Linked DNA regions of Canis lupus familiaris. The protein of the gene in region 1 interacts with the protein of each later gene in a pairwise test. Links are inferred from orthologs where the notes say so. Each region holds a gene or a part of one and is shown on either strand. Other genes may lie near its edges.

Evidence for each region.
Region 2: the proteins of NMI (region 1) and BRMS1 interact in binary tests that used the Homo sapiens proteins (3 or more experiments, as listed by UniProt). The link is inferred for Canis lupus familiaris from reciprocal best matches to the Homo sapiens genes NMI and BRMS1.
Region 3: the proteins of NMI (region 1) and GCSH interact in binary tests that used the Homo sapiens proteins (3 or more experiments, as listed by UniProt). The two-hybrid records come from large-scale screens. The link is inferred for Canis lupus familiaris from reciprocal best matches to the Homo sapiens genes NMI and GCSH.

What each region holds. Positions count from the first base shown.
Region 1 is NC_049240.1:54,258,486-54,262,139, forward strand, and holds part of NMI (N-myc-interactor), read right to left. Parts: intron 1,179-3,654; coding exon 1,016-1,178; intron 1-1,015. UniProt on the Homo sapiens protein: Acts as a signaling pathway regulator involved in innate immune system response.
Region 2 is NC_049239.1:51,473,109-51,475,775, forward strand, and holds part of BRMS1 (breast cancer metastasis-suppressor 1), read left to right. Parts: coding exon 1-74; intron 75-148; coding exon 149-239; intron 240-407; coding exon 408-535; intron 536-714; coding exon 715-794; intron 795-881; coding exon 882-978; intron 979-1,584; coding exon 1,585-1,677; intron 1,678-2,667. UniProt on the Homo sapiens protein: Transcriptional repressor. Down-regulates transcription activation by NF-kappa-B by promoting the deacetylation of RELA at 'Lys-310'. Promotes HDAC1 binding to promoter regions.
Region 3 is NC_049226.1:71,304,305-71,308,058, forward strand, and holds the start of GCSH (glycine cleavage system H protein, mitochondrial), read left to right. Parts: upstream 1-1,393; 5' UTR 1,394-1,425; coding exon 1,426-1,573; intron 1,574-3,754. UniProt on the Homo sapiens protein: The glycine cleavage system catalyzes the degradation of glycine. The H protein (GCSH) shuttles the methylamine group of glycine from the P protein (GLDC) to the T protein (GCST).

The DNA.
Region 1 (3,654 bases):
CAACGTTGGCACTGAAGGCCAGATTGTCCTCCCTAGCGTGCCTCCGGCTCGGAACAGGGTCCTACAGCAGACTCAGCAAACGTCAGGGCCCGTTTCCAAATCGCTGACTCTTGGGCTCTTTCCATTCACTGGTCATGTACCCTTAGGCAAGTCACTTACACACCCAAGAATCTGTGTCCTTAGCTATAATATGTAAATAGTAACTCTCAGGATCCCTGGGTGGCTCAGCGGTTTAGCACCTGCCTTCTGCCCAGGGCATGATCCTGGAGACCCGGGATCGAGTCCCCTGTCGGGCTCCCTGCATGGAGCCTGCTTCTCCCTCTGCCTGTATCTCTGCTTCTCTCTATATATATCTCTCATGAATAAATAAATAAAATCTTTAAAAATAAGTAAATAAATAGTAACTCTCCTCTCGGTCATGTGAGCGTAAGAGGAGCCATCTGTGAGAACTCTGGGGGAAATCTATGGAGCTCTATCAGCTTAAGACATTCTTGCTAACACCATTTGGAGGTAGCAGGTGGAGCAGAGAGACACTGGTATTGGACGTCACAACACCTGGGCTTGAGTCCCAGGGTTGTCATGTTCTCAACAGGTGATCACATTCACGGCAGTTAATGTCCCAGTTTTCTCATCATCAAATGAGGATAATCCTGTCTGCCCCAAGGTATCGCCATGAGATAAGATGAGATGAGATGAGATGAGATGATAGATGTAAAAATTTTAAAGCAATAGCCAAATATCTAAGAAAGCTCTTTGGAAGTCTCAGCGATTTCCAAAAGCAACATAGTAAAAAATTTTTTCAAGATTTATTTATTTATTTATGATAGACAGAGAGAGAGAGAGAGAGACAGAGACAGAGACACAGGAGGAGGGAGAAGCAGGTCCCACGCCGGGAGCCCGACATGGGACTCGATCCCGGGACCCCAGGATCGCACCCTGGGACAAAGGCAGGCGCCAAACCACTGAGCCACCCAGGGATCCCCAACATAGTCAAATTTTTGAACATTACTCATACCTTCTTCTCTTTCAAAGGTGATAAGAGCTTGCCCTTTCTGTAGCTCATAAAAAATTGGCGAGCTCACTTGAAATGAACAGGAGATGTTTAAAAACTGGCTGTCAGTCTCAGGGTTCTCTAAAGATGTGAACTTCACCTTTGTTTCAGGAATATCCTCTTTAATCTAATTTAAACAGAAATGTTTGATTAAAATCAAGACAAGAAATAACTTAAGCCCTTCTTGTGATAATGTGATTTGATCGTCCAATAATTCATCCTCCACTGATTTCAGAATCCCACAGAATACCAAGTGCAGTCTTATTTAATATCTTTAGTAATTACTAATTACTTCTTCCTAGGTAAGTACTCAGGAATGTAATCAGATGCTGATCCTTTAATATTATTTCCCAGATGAAATTATAAATATATAATCTCTCACTTTTTCTAATCAATATTTAAACTAGCCAATATTGTATGGTGTTAGATTCTAAAGCCTACATCACTCCTGTAGAGGAGCACCTCCTAAACAACCGTACTAATAATAGGCTCTGTTACAAGGGAATCATTAGACATACGTTCACGACAAAGCAGTATAAAATAGTTGAGTATATGCCATGTGTATTTTGATAGCTAACCCAGATAATTTCATCCCAAAAGAAAGTCTCCTGAATTATGTTTTAATTATCAAATTTAAATTCCCCTTTCTCCAACACCTGCCCATCAATTTTTTAACCATTATCAAACTTAGGTCTGTAAAAATGCAAAGGGACACCACCAACAAAATTCGTAAGACATACGCAACTATATATAAATGCACAAATGAATCTGTTGTTTGCATTTCTTTCTTCCTCTTTCTTTTTTTATTCCTGAGAGACACAGAGAGAGAGGCAGAGACAGGGGCAGAGGGAGAAGCAGGTCCCTGCGGGGAGCCCGACGTGGGACTGGATCCTGGGAATCTGGGATCCCGGCCTGGGCTGAAGGCAGACGCTCAACCGCTGAGCCCCCCAGACGCCCCATGTTGTTTGCATTTCTATTTCCCATAATCATTTTACACGCTGCAAGAAAATGTTTGTGTTCTCACAAAGGGGTTAGAAAGAGTCAATAAGTTATTTGACCTAATTTCACATTTCTCACATTTGCCCTGTATCTTCACACATAACCTCTGTAGAATTTGATTACTGTAAGTCCAATTTCAAAACAACTGGCAGTGTCTGAGAAAAGGCAGTGTTTCCCAATAATGTGGAAATACCCAATATACTCTGAAAAGTCGAGAGCTTTCTGGAAAAAAATCAGTGCCTGATTTTGGTCTTGGGCACACTTGGCCAGGAGCAACTCACCTATGCTCTCTAGACCTCAATTTCAGTCCTCTGGAAATTGGACTGGCTGAGCTGGCTGGGTTCCCAAGGCCCCGTGAGTTAGAGGGTGAAGTGACTCCTCTCCAGCCAGGACGGTAACGGAGTGTTCCCTACGTCCCATAAACACGGGAACCCCACTTCCAGATATTCAATATCCTACCCCGCATTTCAGAAACAAAAAGTGACAACGTTTTAAACATTTAAGTTGTTTAAATACAGGTGTTTGTTTGTTTGTCTGAACAATGAGTTGTTATGGACAAAAATGGGGAGAGGGGCACCTGGGTGGCTCAGTCGGCTAAGTGTCTGCCTTTGACTCAGGTCCTGAGGTCGAGTCCAGCATCGGCTCCTGCTCAGCAGGGAGTCTGCTCCTCCCCCTTCCCTGTGCCCCTACCCTCTGCTCATGCTCTCTCTCTCTTTCTGTTTCTCATTCTCTTGCTCTTTTTCAAATAAATAAATAAAATCTTAAAAAAAAAAGAAAAGAAAAGCAAAAAGGGGTGAAAAGTTATGTCTAATTCAAATACAGGAAAATTTCGGAGAGAATTTAAATGGTTGAAGACATATGTCCGATTTTTTAAAAAACTGTGAAATTCATTTAAATTACTTGGATTAGAAGAGCAATAAAGGAATTTAGTGAGAAGACCAATAATTTGATCCAAAAGTGACTGATAACGACCAATATTTTTTTTTGTTTTTGCATTAACGTACACATACATTAAAAAATAAAAGCATATACAAAAATTTTAAATGTGCATTATCAGAAATATACAGCCAGATGAAATTTTACAAAGTGATCACACGCATGTGACCAGAGCCCTGATCAATAAACAGAACATGACCAACACCCCAGAAGCCTCCTTTGGTTCCCTTGCAGTTCCTACCTGCCTCCAAGGGCAACCAGATGCTAACTTCTAACACCCTGCTCTTGTGCTTATTTAAATGCAAGCATACGATATGCCCTCGTTTATCTTTTTTGGCTCAACACTGTGCTTATGAAGTTCATCCATGAGGCTTGCATGTGGTTTTATTCTGTTCATTGTCACTGTGTCGTATTCCATTTTGTCAATACACTTCAAATTAATAATTCATTCTACTATGGAGAGTTGAGTTGTTTTCATTTTAGAGCTATTACAAACCATGGTGCCATCAAGGGCTACAATGTTTTTTATTTTTTTTTTAAAGACTTTATTTATTTGACACAGAGAGACAATGACCACAATGTTTCAAAGGTGAATTCTGTATCATTAAATTGCCTTTCTGAAGAATGGTGTCAATTAAAAATGTGACACATAAAATAATTAGAGATAC
Region 2 (2,667 bases), on another chromosome or scaffold:
GATGAATGGGGAGGAGGAAGAGAGCGAGGAGGAGCGGAGCGGCAGCCAGACTGAATCGGAGGAAGAGAGCTCAGGTGAGCCCCCAACATGTGCACACAAGCGTCCGCCCGCTTTTCCTCAGCCAGAGCTGACTGGCCTCTTGTCCCAGAGATGGACGACGAGGACTATGAGCGGCGTCGCAGCGAGTGCGTCAATGAGATGCTGGACCTGGAGAAACAGTTCTCGGAGCTCAAGGAGAAGTGAGCGCGGGGCGTCTAGGGCTGGGTCTTTAGGCCCCCTGGGGTGAGGAGGCAGCGGGCCTGGTGCTGGGCAGGGGTAGCCAAGGGCCTGACACATGGGACCTGCCATGGAGCAGGCGCTTAGCCACGTGTCTGATGAACAAACATGTGCTGCCTTTTCCCTCCCAGGTTGTTCAGGGAACGGCTGAGTCAGCTGAGGGTGCGGCTGGAGGAAGTGGGGGCTGAGAGAGCACCTGAATACACAGAGCCTCTGGGGGGACTGCAGCGGAGCCTCAAGATCCGCATTCAGGTGGCAGGTCTGTGGGCTGTCCTGTGCTCTGGGGTGACCCCAGGCCTCCTCGCATCTTCCTCTGCCAGAGCCCATGGCTGTCTGTTCCCTTCTTTCCTCATTCCTGCCCAGCTCTGCTCCTGGCTCCCCCTTTTGGACACATGAGACCCTGGCCAAGCAGGGCTTCCCATCTCCCTCCCTCTACAGGGATCTACAAGGGCTTCTGTCTGGACGTGATCCGGAATAAGTACGAATGTGAGCTGCAGGGAGCCAAACAGCACCTGGAGGTGAATGTGACTGCGGGCTGGGCTGGGGGAGGTGAACGGAAGGTGGCTTGTCCCTGCCACCCTGCTGAGCACCTTCACCCTTTCCAGAGCGAGAAGCTGCTGCTCTATGACACGCTGCAGGGGGAGCTGCAAGAGCGGATCCAGAGGCTGGAAGAGGACCGCCAGAGTCTGGACATCAGCTCTGGTGAGGCTGCACTAGGCACTGTTCTAGCCATGCCCCCACCCCTCCCACCCACCCCCCATCCTGCCCTCCCACACCACCTGCTGCTCTGCCTACACAGGGAGCATGTAGGAGAGCCTGCTTCATGGTGTCACTCTGGGGCCTAAATGGAACCAGGCACAGAAAGGACACAGCCCAGTGCCTGGTGCACAGAGGAGGCTCAGAAAGAACGGTCCCCCTGCCCTCCTTGGCCCCTGCTCTCTTTCCAGAACAGGAGGTGTCATTCTGACACACCCACACATACAATAGCCACAGTTCCCTCCGTGTCCACAGCGCCTGTGTTCACATGGCATCCCAGGGAGGCCAGAATTGTCATTGTCACACTGCCCACTAAACAGATGAAGGAACCAGGCTCACAGAAGTACAGTGACCTCTTCCCCAGGGTTGCATGGCTCTGCCATCTAGCCTTGGCCTCAGCTTCCAAGCCCCTGGCCCAGGGTGCTCTCCACTGGCCTGGGAGGGAGAGGAGGGGTAGGGGCTGGTCTGGCTCACGTGATGGACACAGCTACAAGGGTGGGGTGTCCAGGGATGGCCAGCTCTTTGATCCTGACTCTGGGTCTGGGGGCACAGAGTGGTGGGATGACAAACTGCACGCCAGAAGCAGCGCAAAGACCTGGGACTCCCTGCCACCCAGCAAGAGGAAGAAGGCACCTCTCGTTTCTGGTATCCTTCCACCCACGGCGGCCTGACCTGGGCAGGACAGCAGGGTTAGCTCCAAACCAAGGGAGGGGGTGGGGGGACACGGAAGGCAGTCATTTATGGCAGTTTATGGTCATTTGGCATCATGTGGCCATGTCCAGGCAAATCCAACTGTCAGGAATTTCCTGTGAGGCCCTGGGTCTCTCCTGGGCTGGATAGAGAAACAGAAGTATCCATTTAGTGACTCCCCATAACTTCCTGAGGGAAGTCTCCTTTGAGGTTCTTTTGGCTTTCCCACAATATTCCCAACAGGTCCTAGATTTTCCTACCAACACCACGTCACCCCGCCTTCTCTCACTTCCCACCCTCTTCTTGGAATGCCTTGCTGCCTCTCTGTGCCTGTTATCTCCTCTGTGAAGCCTCTCCTGGTTTCCCCCCAATAGCTATGGCTTCTCTGTCCTCTGCAACCCTGTGGCCTAAGCTGGGGGTACCCACATCCCACACAGTAGTTGCCCAGCCTCACATTAGGCATGAGCCACTTTAGCCCAGGGCTTGCTGAGCCCTCATCCTCCCTGGCAGAGCCCACCACAGATGGGAGCAGGATCCACATGCCCTCCACCTGCACCCCCGGGTACTCCTGCAGCCTTCAGGCTCCCAGGACACTGGCCGCCCAGTGATGGCAGTCAGGGCAGGCAGGGAGGGAGGAGTCTGGGCCTTGAGGACTTGTGGGTTGAACAGGAGGTCAGGGTGTGGAGGCATCAGGTACAGAGCCCAAGAGGACAGAGCAGACCCTCCCACTCTGGAAGGGAGTGGGAGACCAAAGGAGGGTCGTCTCTAGAATGGAAGAGACTGTGAAGTCTGTGTAGAAGGGGCCAGATGAAGGGATACTAAAGGGACAGGGAATAGAGGGATCAAGGTCCCCTAGTGGGGGACCTGGGTTTTGACCTACTGACCTTTAAACTGGAGGGAGGAGTGAGGAGGAACTAAGGGGAGGTAGGGGGTGAGGCTCAGTAC
Region 3 (3,754 bases), on another chromosome or scaffold:
GGAGTTTGGAGAAGACCACTCTGAGCCAGTCGGCCTCCCAAAGGAGGCAAGTACAGCAGGGCTTAAGAGCAGTGCACCGTGAATCCAACTAGAGGTGAAGTCCTGCTACTTGCCACCTAGTAGCTGCTTAACTAAGCCATGAATGCTTTCCCCACTCCTTTCTGGGCAAGTCTTTTAACCTTTCTAAGCCTCCAGCTCTTCACCTATGAAATGAAAGTAATAGGTATCAGAACGGGGTTTGGAGAGGACTAAAAAGGTAATGTTTGCACTGACCTAGGCACATAGCAGGGGAACGGAAAATGCAGCACGACAGCCCTTGCAAGCCACTGCACAGACGTGCTGACGACAGTGCCCGTTTTGTGAGGGACGTGGAAGCTCGGTGCAACAACACGAGTCTCCCAAACAGCCCTGCGTACACACACACACAAACACACACACACACACACACACACACTTTTAGGTGGCCACCCCCGAATAATGAAGATCTGGAGCTTAAGATGTTTTTCACTCTGGGGTTTCTTTGCTGATTCCCGCCCACTCCAGTTAATTTGTGTTGAAGTTGAGGCCTTTCCCAGAACTTATTTTCTGTCTCCTTGGATGGGGACATGCCTTCGGCCTTTCTGGAGAGGCCCCGGTCACAGGGCTGGCTAGGTAAGCAAGGAACTGACCACGCTGGGTTTCAGCCTTGCCGTCTGATTGCTCCTGCATCGGCTGGCTCCCACCTCACCCCATCAGGCAAGTCCCTGCACCATTATGAGCTTCATGATTCGGTCTGTCCGTTTGGGGGACCCAGGCCTCTTGGCATCTGTAAAGTAATAACGTGGGTTCCCGGACTGTCTCCAGCATTTTGAAATGTCAAAGAGACACCCCGTGTCTGAACTCCTTTGGCCAATGCCCGACTGTCTTCTTTGGAATGACTCCGTTTAGACCTGGCTCTGAGCCGTGCTCTGGGTGACCTTGATCCTCTGACAGGCCTGGGGACACCCTATACCTTCCTTGAGGCCTCAGGGCCCCCCTGCTACAGGAATGCGCATCCCGCGAAGCCATCGCTGCCGGGAACCCCTCCCGCGCTGCCGGAGCGGGAGGCCGACCTCGCACGTTCACTCCCGGGCCCAGCGGCTCCCGGGTACGAGGCCCCGCCCCCGGCCCAGGCCCCGTCCCCCGCCCCCCGCCCCCAGCCCCTTCCGGCCGCGGCTCCTGCTCTTCTGCATGTCCCCGCCCCCCGCGCGCGCGCCGCCCTATCCGAGGCCGCGCCCGGCTCGGAGTTCCCGCCCCCCCGGCCGGGCCCCGCCCCCCGCCCCCCGCCCCCCGCCCCGGCCCAGCCGGCTGGCTCCGGCTTTCTCCGGTCCGCGGCCGCCGCGGCCCCGCCCCCGCCGGCCGGGGCGCCCGAGCCGCTCGCACAGCGCCCTCCGCACCTCTGCGAACATGGCGCTCCTGGCGGTGCGGGGCGTGCGGGCTGCGGCGTGCGGGCTGCGGGTCGCCTCGGTGTCCGCCGCGCCCGGCCTGCCGCGGCCCTGGGGGCCGAGGGCGGGCGCCGTCCGGACGCTGCGCACGGGCCCCGCTCTGCTCTCGGGTAAGCGCGGGCGGGCACGTGGGGGCGGGCGGGGCTGCGGGGGGCGACGGGCCGACCGGCCGGCTCACGCTGCGTCCTCCCGCCGGGGCGCGCCCTGCAGCCTCCGGGTGGCGTGGCCCACGCCGCAGCCCTGCCCCTGCGGGCCGGGGAGCCCGGGGCACACGCGCGGCCGCCCGGGGCGGGCCCCTTCGCTCGCCGTGGAGGACCGGGCCGCGTCGCTAAGCCGCCGCGACCTCAGGTGGTGAGCTCGCGGGTGTGCATCGTTAGGCCCTGAGAGTGGGGGCATGGTGGGCTTCGGTTCGCTACGTGGACGTCACTGAGAACTCCGAGGTAAAATCAAAGCAAGGGCACTTAATGAAATTAAAGCACTGGAGCTAGATTTTTACTAGCAAAAAAGTGAGCGTGACGTTGAGGGCTCAGCTATTTCCTAAAAACAGTGAGATGAAGTCTTTTGGACTCTCAGACATTCTGCGAAAGTCTGTATTGAGTCCTGGATGTGTTGGGACAGAAATGAGGGCTCACACGGACTTGGGGTTGGAATAACCGGGGCCCTGCCCACGCCCGCCCTGGCCATCTGTGCTACTTGACGCTTCAGAGCAATTGCTGCAGCAGAAAAAGTTTTCTTACTGCGTGCCCGAGGGCATGAGACGCCAACTGCGCCTCCAGGAATTGAGGCTTCTTAGGGATGCATATAGGTCTGTGATGGCTGTTGTCTCATTAATTTCACTGTTTTACAAACCTGTTTGGAAGTGGAAGGTTTGATAACATTTACTCCAGTCCGAAACATAAAGATGCTTCTCTGTCGTTGCTAACACATTCCTTTAGTTCTGTTGGTGACACATATCAATAATTACCAATTTGAATACAAAGGGAAAGCATATCGCAGAGAAGAAGTGAATTTCAAGGCATCTTTTTTTTTTTTGGTAAGTGTGACACTACTGCTGGGTTTTTGCACTTTCCAGTTACCTAGTTAAATATTGTCCAAAATATCAATACCCATGATCTGGTGTTCAACCAGGGTTTTTAAGAACAGAGGCCCAAGTTCCAATTTCAGCCCTACCTCTTACTAATTATGTGATCTTGGGCAGAGTCACTTAACTTCTTAGTCTGTTTTCCCTCATCAGAAAAATGGAAATGATAATACCTCTACCATACAGAGTTGTTGGGCGGATGAAATGAATTTGGTAAATGTTACTAAATATTATAGAATCAAGTAGGTAAAAATTGGCCAATATTTGTTATCCGACTAGTGACTTTATTTTCTTTTATTTTATTTTTTAAGATCTATTTATTGATGAGAGACAGAGGCAGAGATAAAGGCAGAGAGCAGGGATCACGCCCTGAGCCGGAGGCAGATGCTCAACCACTGAGCCACCCAGGCGCTGGTGACTAGTGATTTTAAAACACATACTTTTTAAAGTAGGCTCCACACTCAATACTGAGGCTGAACTACAACCCTGAGATCAAGAGTCATATGCTCCAACTACTGAGCCAGCCAGATGCCCCCTGATGACTCTGAAAGGAGGAAAATGCAGACTTCTCCTGAATTACTGAAAACACCTCATTATGAAGCCAAATATGATGTTTTTAAAGGCTCAGTAAGAAAGTAATTATTTACCTGACCTGTCCACTTTTATCCTCTTGGGCTGAGGAGGGTTAAAGGAGAATTAAACTAATCATTGTCTTTAGCCTAAATAGCTTGGCCTTGTAGAGTCTTGCAGACTTTTTAAATTAAGTGGACTTGCAGGCATTTACCTTACTAATCTTGCTGTCTTTCATTCTAAACTTGTGGTTGCTCAGTTGCTAAACTGAGTGTGAGCAACCTTATTCCTAAGATTATCTTTACAATTAGGCAAGATGGCAAGGCTCAAATTGATACAGCAGTCTCAGAGAAGTCATATTTATAGTTGTCCAGTTGTTACTTTATTTTTTTAATTTCTTTTCTTTTTTAAAGATTTTATTTATTTACTCATGAGAGACCACAGAGAGAGAGAGAGAGAGAGGCAGAGACACAGGCAGAGGGAGAAGCAGGCTCTATGCAGGGAGCCGGATGTGGGACTCAATCCCAGGTCTCCAGGATCACACCTGGGGCTGAAGGCGGCGCTAAACTGCTGAGCCACCCAGGCCGCTCTAGTTGTTACTTTTAAAAGGTATAGATTTAGGGTTGCTTTTAAAAGGTTT